Linked DNA regions of Saccharomyces cerevisiae S288C. Changing the gene in region 1 together with any one later gene gives a genetic interaction. Each region holds a gene or a part of one and is shown in the gene's direction. Other genes may lie near its edges.

The links.
Region 2: mutations in GCN2 (region 1) and SLX9 together harm fitness more than expected from each alone (negative genetic interaction), as found in Saccharomyces cerevisiae (4 studies listed by BioGRID).
Region 3: mutations in GCN2 (region 1) and ALT1 together harm fitness more than expected from each alone (negative genetic interaction), as found in Saccharomyces cerevisiae (3 studies listed by BioGRID).

Annotation. Positions count from the first base shown.
Region 1 is NC_001136.10:1,024,557-1,031,779, reverse strand, and holds GCN2 (serine/threonine-protein kinase GCN2), read left to right. Parts: upstream 1-1,730; coding exon 1,731-6,710; downstream 6,711-7,223. Other genes in the region: DPP1 (bifunctional diacylglycerol diphosphate phosphatase/phosphatidate phosphatase), read left to right, coding at 361-1,230; MRX10 (Mrx10p), read left to right, coding at 7,025-7,223. UniProt on the Saccharomyces cerevisiae protein: Metabolic-stress sensing protein kinase that phosphorylates the alpha subunit of eukaryotic translation initiation factor 2 (eIF-2-alpha/SUI2) on 'Ser-52' in response to low amino acid, carbon, or purine availability.
Region 2 is NC_001139.9:642,631-645,561, reverse strand, and holds SLX9 (Slx9p), read left to right. Parts: upstream 1-1,781; coding exon 1,782-2,414; downstream 2,415-2,931. Other genes in the region: GCD2 (translation initiation factor eIF2B subunit delta), read left to right, coding at 1-702; TOM complex receptor protein TOM20, read right to left, coding at 967-1,518; twinfilin TWF1, read right to left, coding at 2,554-2,931. UniProt on the Saccharomyces cerevisiae protein: Involved in ribosome biogenesis. Required for normal pre-rRNA processing in internal transcribed spacer 1 (ITS1). May be involved in the movements of the replication forks.
Region 3 is NC_001144.5:317,720-321,828, reverse strand, and holds ALT1 (alanine transaminase ALT1), read left to right. Parts: upstream 1-1,813; coding exon 1,814-3,592; downstream 3,593-4,109. Other genes in the region: XDJ1 (Xdj1p), read right to left, coding at 1-1,128; GPI-anchor transamidase subunit GAA1, read right to left, coding at 3,878-4,109. UniProt on the Saccharomyces cerevisiae protein: Alanine aminotransferase involved in both alanine biosynthesis and utilization. Under respiratory conditions, constitutes the sole pathway for alanine biosynthesis and catabolism.

The DNA of each region.
Region 1 (7,223 bases):
CTGCTATAATTGTACATCATGTTATCGGCGTTGATTCTCAATTGTTTGGTGATTAGCTTTTATATATAGATAGAAACCCAACGTTGGATAACCTCACGACTAACTTTTTTGTATTTTAGAAATAATTTGTCGATCGGTTGTATATTTTTGTCATATATTATCTAGAAACGTTAGGGAATAAACTGTTATCTAGGGTCCACTAACATACGCGCAGTTCGGAAATCAGCAAACATCACTTAAAGGACACCTGCTATAAACTGAATTGTGTCCAATTTTTCGAGTAGTTAGCAGTTCAATAAAGGGCACGTTATCAATTGTTAAAGGCAAAGAATCAGAATTAAATCATAGCAAACGACCAAAATGAACAGAGTTTCGTTTATTAAAACGCCTTTCAACATAGGGGCGAAATGGAGATTAGAAGATGTCTTTTTGCTCATTATCATGATACTTCTTAACTACCCAGTGTATTACCAACAACCGTTCGAACGTCAGTTTTACATTAACGATCTCACTATATCGCATCCTTATGCGACAACTGAACGTGTAAATAACAACATGTTGTTTGTTTATAGTTTTGTCGTGCCATCTTTAACCATATTGATAATTGGTTCCATTTTGGCCGATAGAAGACATTTGATTTTTATTTTGTACACATCTCTCCTTGGTTTATCACTCGCTTGGTTCAGTACGAGTTTCTTTACAAACTTCATCAAGAATTGGATTGGAAGACTAAGACCAGATTTTCTAGATCGTTGCCAACCTGTTGAAGGCTTGCCATTGGACACTTTATTTACTGCAAAAGATGTGTGTACGACTAAGAATCACGAACGTCTGTTGGATGGGTTTAGGACAACTCCGTCAGGTCATTCAAGTGAAAGCTTTGCAGGACTGGGTTATTTGTACTTCTGGCTATGTGGGCAACTTTTGACTGAATCACCGTTGATGCCTTTATGGAGAAAAATGGTGGCCTTTCTACCACTGTTAGGAGCTGCACTAATTGCTCTATCCAGAACTCAAGATTACAGACATCATTTCGTCGATGTAATTTTAGGGTCTATGTTGGGTTATATAATGGCACACTTTTTCTACAGAAGAATCTTCCCACCCATTGATGATCCTCTTCCGTTCAAACCATTGATGGACGATTCAGATGTCACCCTGGAGGAAGCAGTCACCCATCAGAGGATCCCGGATGAGGAATTACATCCTTTGTCCGATGAAGGTATGTAAGAATAAAAAAGAATATATACTCCACATGACATACGAAATATACGTATTTATTGTTCTGTATGGAATAACAGCGATTACATAAAGATGACATGTTACTTCTTTATTCAAATTAATCTTGACGTGCAAGGGCCTGCTTGTTATTTCATCGGACAATCCCAACATCACTTTACACGAAAGCCTTAGAAGTTTATTATTTGTTTTAAGTTGGACTATAGTGATGTAGGTAGTTTCTTAGGAAGCAGTTGAGTAGCTGATTTTTGAGATAAGAACCTGGTGTAATCAATCTATAAACAGCCTAGAATCTTTTTAAGCAAATTTACTTTTACATTTATCTCTATCTTCTTTCTTACAAGAAGTTATTTTCATTACAAAAGGACATTAAATACACTAAATTTTCAATCTTTACATTGTTGGAAAGCCTCGTTGTCTTTTAAGATTTTATAAGCATTGATTTTTTTTTTCAATAATTTTCCGTTCCCCTTAACACATACTATGTATAAATGTCATTGAGTCATCTCACTTTAGATCAATATTATGAAATACAGTGCAACGAACTTGAAGCGATACGTTCCATTTATATGGATGACTTTACTGACTTAACTAAAAGAAAGTCTAGCTGGGATAAGCAGCCACAGATTATATTCGAAATTACGCTTCGATCTGTTGACAAAGAGCCGGTTGAATCTTCTATAACATTACATTTTGCGATGACCCCAATGTATCCTTATACCGCTCCAGAAATAGAATTCAAAAATGTACAAAATGTAATGGATAGTCAATTGCAAATGCTGAAAAGTGAATTTAAGAAAATCCACAACACCTCCCGAGGCCAAGAGATTATATTTGAAATTACATCTTTTACTCAAGAAAAACTGGACGAATTTCAAAATGTGGTAAATACACAGTCCTTGGAAGATGATCGATTACAAAGAATCAAAGAAACTAAAGAACAATTAGAAAAGGAAGAAAGAGAAAAACAACAGGAAACAATAAAAAAAAGATCAGATGAGCAGCGAAGGATAGATGAAATTGTTCAAAGAGAGTTGGAGAAAAGACAAGATGATGATGATGATTTGCTATTCAACAGAACAACCCAGTTAGATTTACAACCACCTTCAGAATGGGTTGCATCAGGTGAAGCTATTGTCTTTTCAAAAACTATAAAGGCAAAATTGCCTAATAACTCAATGTTCAAGTTTAAAGCAGTTGTAAATCCTAAGCCAATAAAACTGACATCAGATATATTTAGTTTTTCCAAACAATTTCTTGTGAAGCCTTATATACCACCAGAATCTCCGTTGGCAGATTTTTTAATGTCTTCTGAAATGATGGAAAATTTCTACTATTTGCTATCTGAAATTGAATTGGATAATAGCTATTTCAACACAAGTAATGGAAAAAAAGAAATAGCAAATTTAGAGAAAGAGTTAGAGACGGTGTTGAAAGCTAAGCATGACAATGTGAATCGATTGTTCGGTTATACGGTGGAGCGCATGGGGAGAAATAATGCAACGTTTGTTTGGAAAATAAGACTCTTGACAGAGTACTGTAACTACTATCCATTGGGAGATTTGATACAATCTGTTGGATTTGTTAACTTAGCAACAGCGCGTATTTGGATGATTAGATTGCTTGAAGGATTGGAGGCCATACACAAATTGGGAATTGTTCATAAATGTATCAACTTAGAAACCGTGATCCTGGTGAAGGATGCAGATTTTGGAAGCACTATTCCCAAGTTAGTTCACTCCACTTATGGCTACACTGTTTTGAATATGCTATCGAGATATCCAAATAAAAATGGTTCTTCGGTTGAGTTATCTCCAAGTACATGGATAGCCCCTGAGTTGTTGAAATTCAATAACGCCAAACCTCAAAGATTAACTGATATTTGGCAACTTGGTGTTTTGTTTATCCAGATAATCAGTGGATCTGATATAGTGATGAATTTTGAAACGCCTCAAGAATTCCTAGATTCAACAAGTATGGATGAAACTTTATATGATCTTCTTTCGAAAATGCTTAATAACGATCCGAAGAAAAGATTAGGAACATTAGAACTACTGCCCATGAAATTCTTAAGGACCAATATTGACTCTACAATCAATCGATTTAACTTAGTTTCCGAAAGTGTCAATTCTAATTCCTTGGAGTTAACTCCTGGAGATACCATAACCGTTCGGGGCAATGGAGGTAGAACACTTTCACAATCGAGTATACGAAGAAGATCATTTAATGTTGGTTCCAGATTCTCTTCTATAAATCCTGCAACGCGATCACGATATGCTTCTGACTTTGAAGAGATTGCAGTTTTAGGCCAGGGCGCATTTGGACAAGTTGTCAAGGCACGTAATGCTCTCGATAGCAGATACTATGCGATCAAGAAGATTAGACATACAGAAGAAAAGTTATCTACTATATTGAGTGAAGTAATGCTGTTAGCAAGCTTAAATCATCAATATGTTGTGCGTTACTATGCTGCATGGTTAGAAGAAGACAGTATGGATGAAAACGTTTTTGAATCAACTGATGAAGAAAGTGACTTGAGCGAATCTTCCTCTGATTTTGAGGAAAATGATTTATTAGATCAAAGCAGTATTTTTAAAAATAGAACAAATCACGATTTGGATAATAGTAACTGGGATTTCATATCGGGGTCAGGATATCCGGATATTGTCTTTGAAAATAGTTCTCGTGATGATGAAAATGAAGATCTAGACCATGATACTTCCTCGACTTCCTCGAGCGAAAGTCAAGATGATACTGATAAAGAATCAAAGAGTATCCAGAACGTTCCAAGAAGGAGGAATTTTGTAAAACCGATGACTGCTGTTAAGAAGAAAAGTACGCTTTTTATTCAAATGGAGTACTGTGAAAATAGAACGCTATATGATTTGATCCATTCTGAAAATTTAAATCAACAACGTGATGAATATTGGAGGTTATTTCGACAAATTTTGGAAGCACTGAGTTATATACATTCCCAGGGTATCATTCATAGGGATCTGAAGCCAATGAATATTTTTATAGATGAATCGAGAAATGTTAAAATCGGTGATTTTGGGTTAGCTAAGAACGTCCATAGATCTCTGGATATACTTAAGCTAGATTCACAGAATTTGCCAGGCAGCTCAGATAATTTAACATCCGCCATTGGTACAGCAATGTATGTTGCTACTGAAGTTTTAGATGGTACAGGTCACTATAATGAAAAGATTGATATGTATTCACTTGGAATCATTTTTTTTGAAATGATCTATCCTTTCAGTACAGGTATGGAGAGAGTTAATATTTTGAAAAAGTTACGATCAGTGTCGATAGAATTTCCTCCTGATTTCGACGATAATAAGATGAAAGTTGAAAAGAAAATTATAAGGTTACTCATAGACCATGATCCCAATAAAAGGCCTGGTGCTAGGACATTATTAAATAGTGGTTGGCTTCCTGTGAAGCATCAGGATGAAGTAATCAAAGAGGCTTTAAAAAGTTTGTCGAATCCTTCATCCCCTTGGCAACAGCAAGTTCGAGAAAGTTTATTTAACCAATCTTACAGTCTAACAAATGATATTCTATTTGATAACTCAGTTCCAACATCCACTCCTTTCGCAAACATTCTCAGGTCCCAAATGACAGAAGAGGTAGTTAAAATTTTCAGGAAACATGGAGGAATTGAAAATAATGCTCCTCCGAGGATTTTTCCAAAGGCCCCCATATACGGTACGCAGAATGTATATGAAGTGCTTGACAAGGGCGGTACCGTCTTGCAGTTACAATATGATTTAACTTATCCTATGGCTAGGTATCTATCTAAAAATCCAAGTCTGATTTCTAAGCAATATAGGATGCAGCACGTTTACCGACCTCCTGATCATTCAAGGTCAAGTTTGGAACCTAGAAAGTTTGGTGAGATTGACTTCGACATAATTTCAAAATCTTCCTCAGAGTCAGGATTTTATGATGCAGAAAGCTTGAAAATTATCGATGAAATATTAACCGTATTTCCTGTATTTGAGAAAACAAACACTTTTTTCATATTAAATCATGCTGATATTTTGGAGAGTGTTTTCAACTTTACAAATATTGATAAAGCCCAAAGGCCTCTAGTTTCACGAATGTTGTCGCAAGTAGGCTTTGCAAGGTCCTTCAAGGAAGTAAAGAATGAACTAAAGGCGCAACTGAACATATCTTCTACGGCATTGAATGATTTGGAGTTATTTGATTTTAGACTGGACTTCGAAGCAGCCAAAAAACGCCTGTATAAATTGATGATTGATAGTCCGCATCTAAAAAAAATTGAGGACTCTTTGTCCCATATATCAAAGGTTCTCAGTTACCTAAAACCCTTAGAAGTTGCAAGAAATGTTGTGATATCTCCTTTGAGTAACTACAATAGCGCTTTTTACAAAGGAGGTATCATGTTTCATGCAGTTTATGACGATGGATCCTCACGTAATATGATAGCTGCTGGAGGGAGGTATGACACTTTGATATCCTTTTTTGCCAGACCATCAGGAAAAAAGAGCAGCAATACTCGTAAGGCTGTAGGTTTCAACTTAGCGTGGGAAACAATATTCGGTATAGCCCAAAACTATTTCAAACTCGCTTCTGGAAATAGGATAAAGAAGAGAAATAGGTTTTTGAAAGATACAGCTGTTGATTGGAAGCCAAGCAGGTGTGATGTATTGATATCGAGTTTTTCGAACTCTTTGTTGGACACAATCGGGGTTACAATACTGAATACATTGTGGAAGCAAAACATTAAAGCGGATATGTTAAGGGATTGTTCCTCGGTGGATGATGTCGTTACTGGCGCTCAACAGGATGGTATAGACTGGATTTTGCTGATTAAGCAACAAGCGTATCCACTAACCAATCACAAGAGAAAGTACAAGCCATTAAAAATAAAAAAATTGAGCACTAATGTTGACATAGATTTAGATCTTGATGAGTTTTTAACCTTGTACCAACAAGAAACTGGTAATAAATCTTTGATCAACGATAGTCTCACTTTGGGCGATAAGGCTGATGAATTTAAAAGATGGGATGAAAACAGCAGTGCCGGTAGTAGTCAAGAAGGTGACATAGATGATGTTGTTGCTGGTTCGACTAATAATCAAAAGGTAATTTATGTTCCAAACATGGCTACAAGATCTAAGAAAGCTAATAAAAGGGAAAAGTGGGTTTATGAGGATGCAGCCAGAAATTCTTCGAATATGATATTACACAATTTATCCAATGCACCAATTATCACTGTTGATGCCTTAAGAGATGAAACTTTAGAAATAATCTCAATTACTTCTTTGGCTCAGAAGGAAGAATGGCTGAGAAAAGTTTTTGGGTCAGGTAATAACTCGACTCCTAGAAGCTTTGCCACGAGCATTTATAATAACCTCTCCAAAGAGGCTCATAAAGGGAATAGGTGGGCAATATTATACTGCCACAAAACCGGAAAATCATCTGTTATCGATTTACAGAGGTAGGCCTTTAAAGATCTGTGCGGCGCTATAACGCATCAGTTAAAGGTAAAGTATATACAATGTCTTAGATACTATATTTAGGCTAGCTGATTCATCTAATTCACCGTTGTAAAGGGGGTAGGTCACCTTTCTTATACATATTCCTGATACTAAAGACAAATGTAGGTTTAATGAGATGGTCTACTTCTTCTCTCCTTTCTCTACTTTCCATTTTGTATTTAATTTTTCGGTGAATATAAATGTGTGCGTATGTTGTGTGAGGCTCCTCTAGCTCCTACGGGAGACATTTAATAAATGATCATAATATGGCGTGAAGAATGCTTTCATTCAGAAGTTTGACTAGCACATTCGGTTTCGTATCACGATTCCAAATTAGACGGTTAGGAACTAGTTTATCAATACAGAATTTAGAAGTGCAAGATGGCCGTTGGAAAGGTAAACTAGCTACAGAGAAGAAGACCAATAGGGAACACAAGTCAGTGGATACGAATATCAAGACAATGAAGATGCTTAAAA
Region 2 (2,931 bases), on another chromosome or scaffold:
AGTTTAAAGAAAAACATCAAAGTGATTGTCGTCGATTCGAGACCACTATTTGAAGGGCGGAAAATGGCAGAAACTTTAAGAAATGCTGGTGTCAATGTTATGTATGCACTTATTACAAGTTTGGATACGATATTCAATATGGATGTGGACTATGTGTTTTTAGGAGCCCATTCTATCCTATCTAATGGGTTCCTATATTCAAGAGCTGGGACAGCAATGTTGGCTATGAGCGCTAAGAGAAGAAATATACCTGTATTAGTCTGCTGCGAAAGTTTGAAGTTTTCACAAAGAGTACAATTGGATAGTGTCACATTTAATGAACTGGCAGATCCAAATGACCTGGTTAATATAGATTACGAAAATCCAGTCGAGAGACGCGGTAATAAAGGTGCGTTATTAAACCAATTTATCAAAGAAAGAAAATTTGAAAAGAAAAAGCTAGCAATGGAGAATAAGCCAAAGGGTAATAAAATTGGCGGTAAGAAAGGATCTGAAGGAGAAAGCAAGGACGCCAGTAATGAAGAAGACAGCAACAGCAAAAATATTTTGGATGGTTGGCAAGAGTTACCTTCGTTAAATATTGTCAACATCTTATACGATTTAACACCACCAGAATATATTAAAAAAGTGATCACTGAATTCGGCGCTTTGCCACCTTCATCTGTCCCTGTTATTTTAAGAGAGTACAAAGGTTCCGCATAAGCATATACAACATTCGTTAATGGTCGTCCACGTGTGTATACTACATATATATTATATATATATATATATATACATATATATATATATTACACCTAATACGATGAAAAAATACATCTAATGAAAAGAATTGTTTTTATCCTTAGCTTTCCAAAAAGCTTGGTATATATAACAAGATTTAGGCTAGAGAAATGATGTAATTATATAGGGCTATATACAGAGTAAAAGAAACAAAAACGGAGAAAAAAAGCAAGCAAAATGTTACTCTCAGTCATCGATATCGTTAGCTTCAGCAACCGCATCAGATTCGGCCTTGCTTCCAACAACTCCTTTAACGAAAGAAGCCACATTAGCAGGAGGCAAGATGGCAATCATTAATATAATATATTCGTAAATGGCTTCAGGAATGGATCTTTGGTAAATTCCCAATAAATCGGCTGGCTGAGGGTATACAGTCAATGCTTTATAAAACTTAGAGGCTGCTTCCAGTTCCTTACCTTGTTGCATGGATAATCTTTCACCATTTTCTACGTTGGTGGTAAATGTAGCTTCTCTTTCGGAGGGATCACTAGGGATGGGGTCCTTGGCTAATTCCATGGATAAGAATTCGGTAACCTTTTGCAGCTTCACTTCCTTAGCATGAGTTTTAGCTTGTTCTTCCATCTTGGCCTGCTCTTTGGCCCTTTGTCTCAACACTTTCCTGAATTGCGGGCTATTTCTTCTTTGATAGTCAAAGTAGATAGCATAACCGGTGGCTGATAGAGCTGCTATGGCTGTTGTAATAGCGAGGCCACGTAAGATAGGGTTCGACTGGGACATAATAGAAAATAAACTTTATGAAGGTGGCACTTGAGGCAATGTTTCTTGTAGGTCTAGGCGAAGGGACAATAGGTAAATAACGTAAATGTCGGCCATTATCAAGGTGAAATATTCCTGTATAAAAAATGTTATTCGGCGCGAGAAACTGAACGGGGTGACGCACTGCAAATTTTTCATGTTTTACATACTCAAGCATTACAGACTCGATGAGCAGAGATAAGAGACAGGAAATCCATTGAATATAGAAGCATAGATAAGCGATAATGGTTGCTAAGAAGAGAAACACGCTTAGAAGCAAAGTAAGTGCAAGAAATAGTCAAAATTTTGGACCAGACGTAGCGAACAATGGCATTCTGGACGAGAGTTATGACATAGAATCTGATCCAAGGGCCTTTCTGCACCAACCTAAAGAAACTAAAAAGGAAAAGCTACTTAACAGACAGAATACTTTCTTATCTAACTTGAAGGGGAAATCCACACTTAACGATGGCATAGCTGCCAATTTTGATGGTATTTCTAAATCTTCCATTAGACGTAGGAAAAGAAAGCTAAGAGAAGAACTAAAACCAAGAATGCAAGATCTGCTCACTTCTTTGGAGCAAGAAAAGGATTTACGGGGCATTATTGAAAATAGTAGCAAAGACATGAATAACGATGATGACATCGACATGGATTCTAAAATAAGGTTTGTGGACACAAAGGAAATGAACTTGAAAAAGATAGAACCTGGTTCTGTTAGGATAAAAAAGAATCAGCCAAATATCAGGAACCAAAAGGGTGCAAAGGCATTGGCTGCTAACGAAACTGCAAGATTCAATCAGGTCCTAACCAATCAAGATTTCCAAAAAAATCCATTTGGCGCCTTAAGAGAGGTTATCAAGCTGCAAAAACAATGAACATTAAATAGCATAGCATAACAATTTTTGCCAGTGTAATATATATTCCAGCAAACCTAGAAAAACATTCAGTTTCATATTTAGAAGAATAAAAACGTATGTATTGTTGGTCACACATATATAGATGCCATTTCTATCTCTATGTTCTTCTTTTCCTCAATGGGCCCTTTGGTTTGTTGAATTTCAAATTGCTTTTGTTTGGGAGATCTGGATTGGATCCATGATCGAGGCTATCTTCTTTATTTGTTGCCATAAGTAAGGACTTGTCTAGTTCCACAAAATCGCCAATTTCTACCACTTTACTAAATGCGATTTTTTGATCATTTTTCAAGTAGTTGATAAATCCATTCTTGTTAGAAGCATATATCATTCTATCTTTGACTTTGCTGCCAGAGGGACAAGAGTAGATAAAGAAACTTGAATCACCCTGCCTGAAAATCGTGTAACTTGGCCCGGGCAAGTCAATGTACAGTTCATCTACGGAGGGACATGTATCAGATTGCACGATCTGGATGGT
Region 3 (4,109 bases), on another chromosome or scaffold:
AAATTCAATATGAACGAAAACATACAGATCGCCGCACCGGCCATGAGGGTTATCTAAAATGGGCCAACCTTCATTGGCGATTTTGATGGTGTCACCAGGTCTTACTACTCTGCCAGGTTTAACGCTCAATGTTAGTAACCTGTCGTCGAAGGTTTTTGTCAAAAATTTCTCAAATCCCGTCAAGGCCTCGCTTAACGATATGGTAATGCTTGTATACAAATCTTCCCCGGCGCCGTCGTCAAAGTTCTTCAAAAAGATTTGCTTCTGCTCCAAGTTTTCTTGTTTTTCAGTGAGATGGAACTTTAAATCACCACATGTGGTCTTATCGATTTCCTCGTCCGCCATCCCCTTGACTGTAATTACGTCGTTAAAGTGGTGTCCCGGAGCCACGTTCACTGTGATGATTTCCTTCTTTGACAGGAGCCCCAAGCCTGCGCAATCGGGGCAAAAGTTCTTTGGATTCTTGGGTCTTTTAGTGTACTTCCCCTTACCATTACATTTCTCACAGACCACCCATTGCGAAGCTACCAAACCGGGACCAAACCTCTTCAGACGTTCCTTTGAACCCTTTCCAGCGCATGATTCACATTCCACATCGTGTGTAACGTGAATTTTCCTCTTTGGTTTCCAGCCAGAACCGTGGCACTTTATACAGATGACCTGTCTCTTTAAATCAAACTTCAGCTTCTTGCCCATGTACAAATCCTTCAAAGTAAGAGATATATCGATATCGATATCCTTAGAGCTTGTAGAGTTGCCCTCTTCGTACGCATCATACTCGCCAGGGAAATTATTTCCATCGTGACTTCCATTATTGAAGAAATTGTTAAAGAAGTTCATAAAATCTTCATCTCCAAAGCCATTAGCGCCACCGCTGCTAGCGGCACCATTATCATCACCATACAAGTCGTAATGTGATTTCTTCTCCGGATCGCTCAAGATCTCGTAAGCGGCAGTGATCTCTTTGAATTTGATTTCATTTACCTCCTTTGAGTCTTGATCCACATACTTGTCCGGATGATGTTTCAGGGCAAGCTTTCTGTAAGCAGTTTTAATCTCTTGCACGGTCGCATCTCTCGTCACCCCCAACACATCGTATAACCGGTCTCCTCTATCACTGCCACTCATTCAAAACTACACCTGCGTACTTACTTTTCCCTTTCTTTTGGGTCCAAGCGGCATATCTCTTAAGATAAGATAAGCCTGACTCTTTCTTTGCCTCTCTGCCTTTCTTTCTTCTTCCCTTCTGCAGAGGATGGCTCGTCGCTACTCAAATCCCGACCCAAGAAACAAAGAAACAAGGATTGCACAGCAGAGCGCTGCCCCACACACATATATGCATATGTTTATTTACCGCATATTCGTGGCTATATAATCCATATATAATACACAGCACATTCATGATATAATCTTACATAGTAGCACTTCCCATTAGACGTTTTCTGCTTTTACAGTACTGGTTTTTTTTTCACTCTTGCGTCTTTTTTTTTTTTCATTCTGAAGGGGTCCAAGCCTAACGATTTTCGACCTTTCGTTGAGACAACTTCACGTACTCTTCTGACCTGCTGTGGTTGACGTATTTAGAGTTTGCTGCGCCCTTTGTAAACGATCGTGACCCGCGGACCATACTAGGAAAAGCTCTTCCGTTACTACTACTGCTTTCTCGCTATTTTACTCTAGTTGTTCATACTAGTCACACGTTGCTCGAGAACAGGACCAGCTTCTTTGTTTCTCCCCCGCATTTAATTGTTTCTGCTTCTCAATTGAACGCATATAAATATATTTCCCCAGTCTTTATTTTGCTCTCTCCACGATGTTATCACTGTCTGCCAAAAATCACTTCACAGTGAGTAATTCTATAACTCACGTTATTAAGTCATATCATATAAGGACTCTCACTTCAAGCGCAGAAAAAATGCCACATATCACTACTCCTTTTTCTACCTCAGCCAGTAGTACAAAGTTAAAAGCTTTCAGGAAAGTTAGACCCGTCCTACAGAGACATAGCTCTTCCTGGATTGTTGCTCAAAATCATAGACGTTCATTATCTGGTCAATCTTCGCTAAACGACCTGCGTCATTTGAATCGCTTTCCACACCACACGTTGAAAACTTCGAATAACGAGTTTTATCCCGCCGAACAATTGACTTTGGAAGACGTAAATGAAAATGTCTTGAAGGCTAAGTACGCCGTTAGAGGTGCCATCCCAATGAGAGCTGAAGAATTGAAAGCTCAACTGGAGAAGGATCCTCAATCTCTGCCATTTGACAGGATTATCAACGCCAATATTGGTAATCCTCAGCAACTACAACAGAAACCTCTGACTTACTACAGACAGGTCTTGTCTCTCTTACAATACCCAGAACTATTAAACCAAAACGAACAGCAGCTAGTTGATTCGAAATTGTTTAAACTAGATGCCATTAAACGTGCAAAGAGTTTAATGGAAGATATCGGTGGTTCTGTTGGTGCTTACTCTTCTTCTCAAGGTGTAGAAGGTATAAGGAAAAGTGTCGCTGAATTTATAACGAAGAGGGACGAAGGCGAGATATCATACCCAGAGGATATTTTCCTAACTGCTGGTGCATCCGCAGCTGTCAATTACTTGTTATCAATTTTCTGTAGAGGGCCAGAAACGGGTGTCTTGATTCCAATTCCTCAATATCCATTATATACCGCTACTCTAGCTTTGAACAATTCTCAAGCTTTACCATACTATTTAGATGAGAATTCAGGTTGGTCAACTAATCCAGAAGAAATTGAAACTGTCGTCAAAGAGGCTATACAGAACGAAATCAAACCTACAGTTCTAGTGGTTATCAATCCAGGTAATCCTACAGGAGCTGTCCTATCACCTGAGTCTATAGCTCAGATTTTTGAAGTCGCAGCCAAGTACGGTACAGTAGTGATAGCTGACGAAGTTTATCAAGAAAATATCTTCCCGGGCACCAAGTTCCATTCTATGAAGAAAATTTTGAGACATTTACAGAGGGAACATCCAGGTAAATTCGATAATGTTCAGCTAGCTTCTTTGCATTCGACTTCTAAGGGTGTTTCTGGTGAATGTGGTCAAAGGGGTGGCTACATGGAACTCACTGGATTCAGCCATGAGATGAGACAAGTTATCTTGAAACTAGCCTCGATTTCATTGTGTCCCGTTGTCACAGGTCAAGCTTTGGTTGATTTGATGGTTCGTCCACCAGTGGAAGGGGAGGAATCATTCGAGTCGGACCAAGCAGAACGTAACTCCATCCATGAAAAGTTAATTACAAGAGCAATGACACTGTATGAGACATTTAACTCTTTAGAAGGCATTGAATGTCAAAAGCCTCAAGGTGCCATGTATTTATTCCCTAAGATAGACTTACCTTTCAAGGCAGTTCAAGAAGCTCGCCACTTAGAGTTAACTCCGGATGAATTTTATTGTAAGAAGTTGTTAGAATCTACTGGCATTTGCACTGTTCCCGGTTCTGGGTTTGGTCAAGAACCTGGTACTTACCATTTAAGAACAACATTTTTGGCACCTGGTCTGGAATGGATTAAGAAATGGGAAAGTTTCCATAAAGAATTTTTTGACCAATACCGTGACTGAATAAAAGGGGGCAGAACAGTCTTCAATAAACATTTAAATAGCTAGTTTATTATAATAATGTGATCGTTTCTTTCTTCCACAACTCACATATAGTTATTTGATATTATCGCATCTTCGCTTCTCTATGCCATGTTTCCATCAATACTTATGTTTTATTTAATACATATTTGTATCAGTATATCATATCATTTCATCTTCTTTTGCTTCGATTTGTAATGTTTGTGCGTATAAAATCAATTGCGTAGTTCGAACACCCGTTAATCCTTTACTTCTTACCAATGGCACCTAACTTTGCTTTTCTTTCGACCTTACTACGACAGATTTAGATTCAAACGATGACGCTAATATCAATAGCCAACATGGAAGCCAACCTATACAAAGTACAAACCAACTCCAACATTTCAAATCCAACCATGCTGAAACCAGTTTGTTTATTATATCAAATCCATGAAATTCATCATCAAAAAATAGTCCGAATAAGGTTATTGAAATAAATGGATTTGTCAAAATTAATAGT